2 linked regions of the Arabidopsis thaliana genome follow. The protein of the gene in region 2 interacts with the protein of the main gene of each other region in a biochemical or structural test. Each region holds a gene or a part of one and is shown on either strand. Other genes may lie near its edges.

Evidence for each region. Proteins that work in one complex are often made in the same cells at the same time.
Region 1: the proteins of TCP14 (region 2) and DAR2 form a complex in vitro, tested with the Arabidopsis thaliana proteins (one study listed by BioGRID).

What each region holds. Positions count from the first base shown.
Region 1 is NC_003071.7:16,619,220-16,626,165, forward strand, and holds DAR2 (DA1-related protein 2), read right to left. Parts: upstream 4,932-6,946; 5' UTR 4,440-4,931; coding exon 4,349-4,439; intron 4,270-4,348; coding exon 4,088-4,269; intron 3,299-4,087; coding exon 3,211-3,298; intron 3,092-3,210; coding exon 2,974-3,091; intron 2,685-2,973; coding exon 2,564-2,684; intron 2,449-2,563; coding exon 2,365-2,448; intron 2,281-2,364; coding exon 2,161-2,280; intron 2,060-2,160; coding exon 1,847-2,059; intron 1,753-1,846; coding exon 1,690-1,752; intron 1,601-1,689; coding exon 1,485-1,600; intron 1,405-1,484; coding exon 1,337-1,404; coding exon of another isoform or gene 1,278-1,336; exon of another isoform or gene 1,063-1,277; coding exon 731-1,062; 3' UTR 524-730; downstream 1-523. Other genes in the region: eIF6B (Translation initiation factor IF6), read left to right, coding at 1-11, 116-373. UniProt on the Arabidopsis thaliana protein: Acts redundantly with DA1 and DAR1 to regulate endoreduplication during leaf development.
Region 2 is NC_003074.8:17,557,150-17,561,778, reverse strand, and holds TCP14 (TEOSINTE BRANCHED, cycloidea and PCF (TCP) 14), read right to left. Parts: upstream 2,987-4,629; 5' UTR 2,776-2,986; coding exon 1,306-2,775; 3' UTR 520-1,305; downstream 1-519. UniProt on the Arabidopsis thaliana protein: Transcription factor involved the regulation of plant development. Binds to the Up1 elements (5'-GGCCCAWW-3') in early light-induced proteins (ELIPs, e.g.

The DNA.
Region 1 (6,946 bases), on a different chromosome or scaffold from region 2:
ATGGTGGAATGGTTAGTAGACAACTATATAAAAAACACCCATTCTTTTGGTTCGTCTTTGTTTTGTGGCATTTGTCTCACTAGAAAATCACCTGACTAGCTAATATGATGTACAGGTTCACTCAAATACCAACGTGGAAGAAATGGTCGAGCTAGCGAATCTTGTTCAGGTGCCTTTGGTTGCAGGAACCGTGAACCGTGGCAGCCAAGTTATATCCGCGGGTTTGACTGTGAACGATTGGACCGCTTTCTGTGGGTCAGATACTACTGCAGTAGAGCTCTCTGTTGTTAACAATATCTTCAAACTAGTCCAATCTCAGCCTGATTTCGTCGGTAGTGAAATGAGGAAGTCTTTGATCGATACCTATGTCTAACGCTTTCTTGTTTTCTTTTTTTACTGTTTATGCCAAAATGTGTTCAAGGAGCTGCTCTTTATGACTTGGTTTTAAGTAGTAATTTCTTCTTGTTCCAGTTTAAGATTTTGGAAACATATTGATTATCATTCATCAGCAATTTCTTTGGTCTTTCTTTGGAAATAAAGCCTTTTTTTTTGTTATTAGTATTCAGTCATTGTTCTTATAAAATCTCCAAGCAACAAATATCCCCATTCAAAATCCAAGGGGAGATAAAGTCTGTCTTGAGATTCTATTTAAAGTTAACACAAACGCTGTGTGATCCATCAAATCCAAATCAAGAACATATAGCAAGATGACACATAACATTAAATCTGATCACAAAGGAAAAGTTCCAGTTAAGCGGATATGATCGAGTGTTCGACGAAGACCGTACTTACAAGCCGCTGCATTTGCTGCCCTGAAACCTCCTCCATAAGCTGGAGACGCATCATGAGCTATCTGATGTTTAAAGAACTCTCCAAGTTTCTTCTCCACGTTTGATTTTCCTCCTTTCTTGTTCGAGAAGGATGATGATGATGATGTGGCCACCGATGATGTTGAAGGCAAGTTTCTTGTTGAAGGATCTGAGAGAACTTCAGATTCAAGCCACATGTAAGAGAGGACTTGGCAGATTCCTTCCTCTACCTCAGGGTTAAGGTTCCTAAACCCTAATAGAAACAAGAAATCAAAAGAATTTAAGATGCTGATAGTTATAGTTAACAAAACAGATGTAGCATATAACACAAAATCATATTAATGTTAACTAACAAAAAAAAAAAACGAACAACCGTAAACCTAGTTTTCCCCTCCTCCTACTTTTCGTGTAAGACAAGAAAGTGATTGAAAATTACTTTATACTAAGGTGACCACTTAGGTTTTGATATTAAATAATGACTCTTAACAGATTGATTAATACATGTGTGACCTCCAAATAAATCTTACAGTATGTACCATTAAGCCTTAGCCATCCATGCATGAGCTCATGGGCGAGAATTGCTCCGGTCAGTAATCTTCATCCACAAAAGTGATTAGGTTAGTAGTCATTTACTGTCGAAAAGGGAATTTGAGAATTGAGTGAGTAGTGTAGTACCGCGGGAGCCCGTAAAGAACTAGAATCGCTGTGACTTCACATTTGCGTGTAAGCCTTTGAGGCTGAGTTCTCATACCAACAAGACGGTGAGCACCAAGTCTCGGTCTTCTAAGAACCTGTGAAGAACCAAAAAATAAAAAACAGAGCAAAATAAAATTACTGTTTAGAATCAAAATTTCAAGTAACTTTCCAGGAAGAGACATACACTTGTAACTGTTTGTTCTTCAGACAAGCATAAACCTCTTGTCTCAGGCATGTGATGGTATCCCTGTGAAACATACAGATATATCTAGGATTAACTCTTATTGTATTCTGAGAGAAACTATAACAAAAATGGTTATGTATAAGCTAAAAGATATTACGTTTTTCTCTCCTACGATAGCATCATTGAGAGCTTCTCTTTGAACAAGAAGCATAGGAATCTGTTGATCAAGTTTCATGTACATTCCTTCGTAATAGTCTCTTATAGCGTGGTAAAGCGGTTGACATTCTCCAGTATCGGTTATCGCGGTTTCCATACATTCTAAACACAAACTTCTCCCATCCTCTAACGTGTAATATCTCACATCCCATGACTACATGATCACAACATAGAAAGAAAAAAACACAATTAATTTGCTAAAAAAGAATAGATATGGACTTATCATCAATAGTTAAATTATTTGTATTTGATTACCTCCAAACGTTCGCAGCTACAACAACGAGCAGTTTTATCATATTCGTGAGACGGGCAATACTTTTGGTTCCAAAACGGATGGCATCGATACTCGATCAAGCCAGCATCATTAGTTGGTATCTGAGGAGAGAATATGGAATTGGAACTAATATAAAAATATATGATGTTTAAAAAAAATTTCAAGGTGATTGTAACGTTGCTTACAAAATGGTGACAAACTTCGCATTTGGGATGAGTAAGCTCTTTGAAACAAAGCTTATGATAGGGTTTGGTTCCTGACAGAGAGAACTTGAATCAAGAGAGAAGACAAAACACACAACCTTAGTCACTTCAGAAGGACATTAACACAAATTAAGAGTATATTGATTATTATATATATATATATGTGTGCATATATGTATACCTCATGCTCAGTGATAGCATAACCACAAGAATGGCAACGGAAGCATTCAGGATGAAAGAATGTGCCCATGCATCCTAGATAGTTCCCCGATCCAATATCGCTATTGCAACCGCCACATATTCTGCTAAAAATCACGTAAACCACGTTACCAATGTGCACTTGGAAATGGCTGCAAAATAAATTATATTCTCTACGATAGTTGATCATGAAATCAAGTTTCAAGAAATGAAAATATTAAGTTTGTTTCCATAATTTGCAATGTCACGATTAAAAGTTCGAACCAAGGTTTATTTGGAAATTCGTGACGTAGGTATTTTTGAAATAATGCTACAATAAACAGCTTATTTTTATTTTACTTTTGATAGGAATATTTTTTTTTTGTTTCACTATGAGAATGTGTTTTGTTGTACCTTTGTCTTCGTCTATATTGATAGGAAGGCTCATAAGGTGGAATGAAAGATGATGGATTCAAGCCACCGTGAAAAGGCCTTGGAAAATCTCGGTTGTTATCCATAGACCAACCATACCCTGCACGATTTATTTCATAATTAAAATTCATTCTCTAATGCAATAGAAATAACGTTTTTAACCAACTTCAATTTTTTTTGCTAACAAATACTTTAATTCATGAAAGTAGATAGAAATACCATGTGGGCGCTTCGTGTTGTCAGCTAGAGAAAGTGAAATTGAACGGTCGAGTTCTTCTTTGTCCCGTGCACCTCTTGACCGATCATCCTGTGATTCGTTTATTCGTTGACATGACCATTAAAAAAATATTGAAATGGCATCAAGAAAATAGTTGATGAAACAAATTAGCATATTTCAGATAAAAATAATTTTCCACCACCATGCATAAGGGTATCAAAACAGGTTGACAAAAAAAAAAAGGTATCAAAATAGGCCACCTCAGTTTATCTATTTCATTCATGGATTAAAATTATATTCCTAACCACAATGAGCTAGGTAGTTCATTTTAACTTTTAAAAGTTGAAATATTTTGATTATACAGAATTAAGAAATAAATCTTAATAAACAATCAAATTAAAGCATATAATAATATAGTAATTATGTAACTTTGGAATCTAATCGAATAATACATGAAAATGAATCGAAAATATCTCAACTTCGGCCACTAATAAATACTCCTTATTGAACCAACCTTATAAACCATTTTCTACCTATTTTTGTTATCCCTAATAGTGCTCAAGGCCACATTGTCACATCATCTCAATTTGAGCATCAAAACCCAACGAGACTCATGACAACAATAAAATACAAAATGGACCGACTCATTCAAAGATGTGACAATTTTACAGAATGTACATGACCCATGTTATTTGTTTCAAACAACTCGAGCAAAAAAAAAAAAAGTAAAACAGTAGTGTATGTTCACATGTCTTCTGTATATTGCTTTTAATATGAAAAATCACATGTCTATAGTATTTGTGTGTAGATTAAAATAGAAATATTTTTTCAAAGAAAAGATGTTTCAAATTAAACGAGTATAATTAAGAAAATAATTACCAAAGAAGAAGGAGGTAGAGGAAAGACCATATTCTCGTCTTCTTGAAACTGAGGAGGATGATGATTAGTGTGAGCACCACTACCACCACCATTCGAGCCACTCTTGAAAAGTTTACTCACCCATTTCATCAACTTCCATTTCTTATCTCTATACGTTGACGAAGATGACGACCCAACTTCCCCTGTAATCATCAAAACGTTAGGTTTACGCTTTTAATATTTAGTCTCAAGAATAGAATTTGGTAAGAAAAGAAAACACACCGAAGATGCAAGGATTGGAGATATGGCTGACACGAGCAACACCGTAGGAAGAAGAAGGAGAAGAAGAAGAGGAAGAGGAAGAAGAATCCATGAGGATGGAAAAATGGCCCCCACGTGATTAAATATACTTGAAAACGTGTGAGTAAAGCGAAAACGACGGCCGGAGAGAGAAGCAAAGAAGAGAAGAGGAGGAGGAAGAAGAAGGAAGAGGGGAGAAGAAGAAGAAGTTATAAGTCATTACAATTTGTTATTAGAGAATGAAAACATAAATGAAAAGAGAAGAAAGAAAGAGAGAATCTTTGCAGAAGAGATCGGGCAAAAAAAAATTAAAAGAGAAAAAGAAAAGGAAGAGATGCTTAGCTTCTGAAAGGAAAGGAACAGAGAGAAAGAGATGTTTTTTTAAGAGAATATTTTTGTCTTTTTGGTTTTTGCTGAGGCGGAAGAATCCTTCAAGCAACGGTGTGGGGAGGAGGAAGATAGTTGAAACCTTTTAAGCTTCTCTCTTTTTACACTTTATTTTTTTTTTTTTTGTTGGGGAGAAAAACCAAAAAGTTAGATTTGTAAACGAAAGCAAAAAAAAATTCTTCTTTTTGGGTTTTGATGGAGACGCTCGTTCCATCGGCTCTAACTATTTGCCTTTAAACTTTGGTTTTGTTAAATTTTCCTTGTTTTTGTTTTTATGGTCTCATACCCTCACCGAGTTTTTAATGAATCTATAGCTACATTGAAGATATGTCATTTTATTTTTTAACTAAAACTTTAGTTTCAAAATTTGTATGATTCTTGTAATTGTTTTTGGGTTTCAAATATCCGACTCATGAATCCATGAGAAGTAGTATAACAATGTTTGCACTATACATAATATGGGCGTATTAACAAAGGTCATACTCTAATACACGATAAAGATGCGCTTTTGCAACGTTACCACAGACAACTTTATAATGGGAATTAAGCTTTTATGACATTACAAACGACGGACCAATAATAATATTGTTATTTATAATTTGAGGCATCAATCTATAGGAAGGTCGTGACCGGTGATGACGCAGCAAAGGTGAAAGAGAGGCTTCAAAGTGGAATCAGACACCCAATTTTTACAGAACAAAAGCCTAACCTATTGTCATGTTTAAGTTCTTTCTTTCGATTAAATTACCTTTTTTTTGGGATCAAATTAATATTTTGGGTTAAAGACAGCATCAGATCAAATCTAGCTTTTTTCAGCAACAGTTTCCACCTTGAGATCTGACCATTTCTTTATCAACTTGCTAAAGTCGATCTCTGTATGGACGATCCATAACTTATTTTCTATTAAGGCTGCTTGTTTTTGGGAATTCTCATTTAAAGAAAATGCTTATCTTTTCTTTTTTCTTGTCAAGTTATATATTTTATCTTAAGTATCTATACCCCCAAAGATGTTTACTTATTTTTCATCATGAAAATGTTAAAACATTTTAAGCATTTGCGTTAGTTTCCTATTACATCATTATATTCCTCAGTTAATCTTACAATTTTTTTTGTGAATGTAATTAATCTTACAATTTAAAATGTCTGAACAAATGTATTTGTTCTAGACTTCTAGTTCAACAAGTATTTATTTCTTGTTAAGAATGACTTTTTAAACGATCAATCTTTTTTTATTTTTGGTAACATAAAAACGATCAATCTTATTGAAACTTTCCTACACATGGATCAAGTTGTATTAGTCTGATACAATTATTGTAACAAAATAAAGTATATATATATAGCGAAGAATTTAGCTGAGTTTGAGTAGCCGATGCAAAAATGCTGCATATGTCTTTATTCCTTTAATCACCTAAAATACAAGAATTTACTTTCTCTTATCTCATGCATGAGACATCTTATCCAAGTTGTTATAAATCTCTAACTTTGTATCTGTAAAGATTTTTGTAGTAAAAAGCCTTGAGAGATGAGAAACGTGGAATTGAGTTGGAAAGAATGACTCAAAACCTTTACAATATTCACCCAAAAAAAAAGAGAACTTTATGATCGTAAAGAAAAGAAAGGAAAAGAAAAGAGACGACTATTTTCCATTGCATTGATGGGCTCTTTCAAGCCTCAACATACGGATCATTCCGACTTAATCCGGTCCATAAAATTTGCATTTGCATGTTTAAACGATATTGACTTTATGACTTTATCAACCAATGTAGGCCACCACTAGAGTACCGTACCTAGAGATGTTAATGATGGGTTAAAATCCACTGGTACCCAAAACACACATAAAATTTTAAGCTCATAGATCTATTTTTTCTGGAAATAAAACACAGGTTTAAAATGGGCTGGGTATCCAAATAAATAAAACACATATGGGTTTACCTCATTGGGTTATGGGTACCCACGATTTTTTTTAAAATCATTTTTCAAGTGAATCAACATTTTTTTGTCAAAAAAGATTTCACATTTTTTTCTCCTAAACCGCGATTTAACAGTTTACCACCAAAAAAAAAATCAACATTTTCCCGCCAAAAAAGACATTCAAAATTTTCCCGCCAAAAACGACAATCAACATTTTCCCGCCAAAACGCAATTCAACATTTTCGTGCCAAAAACGACATTCAACATTTTCCGCCAAAACGC
Region 2 (4,629 bases):
ATACATTCAATGATATATTATATAGTCTGCATTCACATTTATTTTTATTTGTTTTCTGTCTTCATCCTTTTTGTAAAAACTTATATTTAACCCATGCGAAAACAGATTTTTAAAACTTCAGATTATTTATCTTGATTCTTGAATATATGACCGATCGATGTTGAGTGAATATTTTCTTTCACAACATAATAATAGATTTTATAAAGTAAATTATGTTCTAATTAAACACTATCAATTTACAAATTGTTAATATTACTTTCTAAAGGCATACAAACACAAAAAGAATATACTGAAACAATCAAATATTTTTGGTGTACTTCGTCAAAAAAAAAGAAACAAAATTTTGAGCCATAACTTTGTACGCGACATTCAAACTATATCACTTTCTAATTAATTCTCATAGTCTAAACTAGTCTTGATATAATATTATCATCATATACAAAACCAGTTTTAACAATATCATGATATAATAGTATTAGATATCTCATCATATACAAAATCAGATTGATTGTTTAGTGGGGACAAACGACAAAGAAACAGAGATAAAATGAATCATATACTAAAAAAAGCATTTAATATATTTCATAGCATATAAGATCAAACGAGATATTTTTATGTTTTTTGTATCGTTTTCGTTCGACCATGTAAAACAAACGAGACACTTTGCTGTTTTCTATTAGCTTTGAAACAACTACTTCAAGGGCCAAATATAACAGAGATTGGTGGGCCAATAGAGAGAGGCCCATCTCATTCCTTGATAAAATAGTTTCTCAATTTTTTTTGTATTAACACTTAAAAAAACGTAATGTTACTAAAAAAACAGTAAGATTATACTTTGATGTATATGTTACTATTATTACTATAGGAACCAACATTGTTTGACGAATACTTTTTAGAATTTTTCTTTATGTATAATTAATTTCTTAATGGATAAAGAAAACGAAGATGATTGAGAATCGAGACGACAGTGACACTATCAGAAGAAGAAAAAAAACAATTAAAAACAATAATGATAAAAAAAAGTGTCATATTCTCCTCAAAATCCAAAAAACCTGACATAAAAAATCTCGTGTACTATTTAATCACTCACTCACAAGAAAAATCAAATTTAAAATCAAGTAAAAAAATCAAAATTAAAAAGAAAATCTCACGTGTTTTTTTTTTTTTTTTTACTTAGCAAAAAAAATTACTACAGAAAATAAAAAAAATTAACGGTGAAAACAAAAGTTTTACACAGCCGCCGAACGCCGTCACCGCTACCGCCGTCGGCAGAAAATCCCACCGTTAAAATGTTTTTGTGTGTGTCTAATCTTGCTGATCCTCCTCATCACCACCTCCAAGTGATCCACTAGCTTGAGAGTCGCCGGAAACTTGCCGTCCGTACTGGTTCAAGCCGGAGAGAATATTATGATGATGTTGTTGTTGATGATGATGATGTCTCTGTGTATTATGATGATCACCACCACCGTCACTTCTTCCTCCTTCATTATTATTACTATCTTCATTAATCTCATGATTACTAGTTGTTGCTAGCTGTTGTTGTCCAGTAAGAAATGCCATTGGCGCTGCGAAATTCATAAAATGTAAACCGCTAGAAACCGCGCCGCTTGGAACGCCCGAAACGCCACTTCTATATAACGCTGCCGCTGCCGTGTTAATGGAAGGAAACGTCCAAACAGGCTCTCCACCGCCGCCACCAGTACCAATAGAAGCTGTCATAAGACCACCTGTTTGGTTGTTATTACCACCACCACCACCTGCAGCCGCAGCCGCCGCAACCATCCAGAAATTTCCCGGTATTTGTTGCGCGGCGGCTGCGGTGGCTGTAGATCCACTGTTGCTAGATTGAAGTGTATATCCTCCGATTTGATCATGTTGGTGTTGTTGTTGTTGTTGATGCAAATCCGACGTCGTTTGGATTCTTCTTTTCTTCTCCGAGTTTAACTCTTCAGAATCTTGATCTCCTTCTTGCTTTGTTGGATTATGAAAGTTCAAAAACGACGTCGTTGGTGTGAAGTTATCAATACCAGGAAACAAAGACGACGTAGGTGCACGTCCCTGTAGATGGGGATGATGAAACCCAACACCACCACCACGTTGTTGTTGTTGTTGTTGTTGAAGCATCGCCGGAGAAAATATGTTATTAGGGCTAAAAGTGGAAGCGGCGGAGCGGAAATGAGAAGGAAGAGACATGGAAGAGCCTGAAGAACGGAGAGAGATGTTTAAAGAAGTGAAATTCGCCGGGATTGTTCCGGTTCCGGTGGCGGCGATTACAGATGGTTCAGCTTGTTGAAGAAGCCACTCTATTGTCTCACCGTCGGATTTATGACCTAGCTCTCGCGTTAGCTGAAAAACCCTAGCTGCACATAACGCCGGCATCCTTATTCTCCTCCCTCTTCCGTCTACTTTCGTGTGTCGGTCTTTCGTCGACGCTCGTTTCAACGGTGGCTTTTTAGCTGCCACCACCGCAGATTCCTCTTGCGTTTGTAATAACTCTTTTTGCGTTGTCTGCGGTTGTGACTTTTGCGATTGCGATTGAGGTTGCGATTGAGATAATTGTTGGTGTTGATGGAGAGAAAATAGAGAGGAGGAGGAGGAAGGGGAAGGTTGTTGTTGATGGTTGTCGTCGGGGTCGTGTTTTCCGAGTAGTTGAAAAGGGAAAGTAGGGCGGTGGTGATGGTGGAGGTGACGGTGGTGATCATCTCCTCCTCCTCCTCCGACGCTGTCTCCACCGTCCATTATGACATTTAAGATACTTGATGTTGGCTTTTGCATATATAAGTGGGGAGCTATAACTATTTTATATATATTTTATAAATTAGGGTTTTTGGTTTTTTATTTATATGTGATGTTTTCGACAAGAGGGGAAAAAAAATAAAGTGTATAAGTCTGAAGGAATTGATTGAGAAAGAGAGGATAAGAAAGAGAGAGACAATGGAGAAGAAAAGCTTAAAGAAACAAAGATCATGAGTGAGAATTATATGGGTGAGCTTTACATAACATTAAAAAATTAAAAGAAAAATCTCATTACATATCTTTTTTTTTTCAAATGAAAATACTGTTCATTGCTTCTTTATGAAAATTACTTAAAATCATATACTTAGAGAAATGTCAACAATGGGAATATCATTTAATAGTTGAAGAAAAGAAAGTGTCATTTAATCAACGCAAAAATGAATTGATGTAATTAGCCAATGTGAATATTTCAACGTTAATTTCTGCTCAATCAAAATCAGTCTGTTATAGTTAACTTAATCCGAATTATATCAAATTATTTTTCACGTTAATTATTTTCTCAGATAAGCATTTAGTCAACTTTTTAAAACAGTAAAAAAAAAAAAAGGTTTAAACAAAATAAATCTGTCCATAATCAAAAGATTTCGGTATATCTTTCATTATATTCTTTTCTCGATGTAGATTTACTCATCAATCAAATGAAAAAAAAAACACCCACCGTAAAAAAGGGCTACAATATTCACCGTACAACGAAAATACTTTTCACGACTAGTTAAAAATGGAAAAATCTGAACGTTGCGTTAATAAATGAGATGAAAAAATGTACAATGTGGAGTCTTTAATATATAGTAAATGTAAGAAAAATATGTCATATATGTGAAGGGGATATGGTTGGAGAGAGTCGTTGTGGCAGCAGAGTCCACGTGAGGTGTCCTCTTTTATCATTCATTCCATAAAGACAATGGAGAGGTCGACGAGAGAGTGATGGGGCCAACACTCCTCTCCAAATTAAACAACTCAATTTGGTCAAAAATTTAGTAATTTATTTCAAAACGTTTTGGGTCCTACATCATTCACGTAATCATTCTTCCCCTGCTACTTTTGCCGGAAACTAGAAACATTATCATTGTTATTCACAATTTTAAACCCAAGCATTATTCGTTTTTATTTAATCAGATAGCAAATCTCTATACAAAAAAAGTGAAGAACTATGGTATGTAACACCACTGCCCAAAAGTTGATTTATGTATGTTATCAAATAAATAGGGTTTTTCAAAAAAAAAAGAAAAAACTAAAAGTATGAATAAAATGAGACTTTTAGCATTTTAACCAACCTCTCTGTTTTTCTATTATAAATGTCTATTTTTGTTTTTTCAAAGTAAAAGAACTACTTATTAAGGCTTTGAAATATTGTAAACTAAACTCTATTAATAATACATATGGAAACTATGACTATTTTGATAAAAATAAAAATATATGATCATAGATGTCATATATATAAATATATATATATATGTTAATGAATGTATTTGATGAAGAATTTTTGTAAATAACATATGATATGTGATATGTGTTATTATTCGAAGAAATGATATAGTTTAATATTACGTACACATATTACAAACTGTTTCGACGTATTACATATTTGTTGTTTAAATAAGCACCATAAACGTATATTTAAAATAAAGAAGCAAAAGTTTCAACAACAATTAAGATTATAAAAAGAGCATAAAGAATCGAAAGTATGGTAGAGTAAATGTGGATGATGATGATAGCTTTGGGATTCCCTCTCTTGTTATAAAATATAAAACTTTGATAAATATGCATGATTATATATGATGATGGTACTTGCTTTCGTTTCGTCTATTGGGGTCTTAATTAAATGCTTAATTA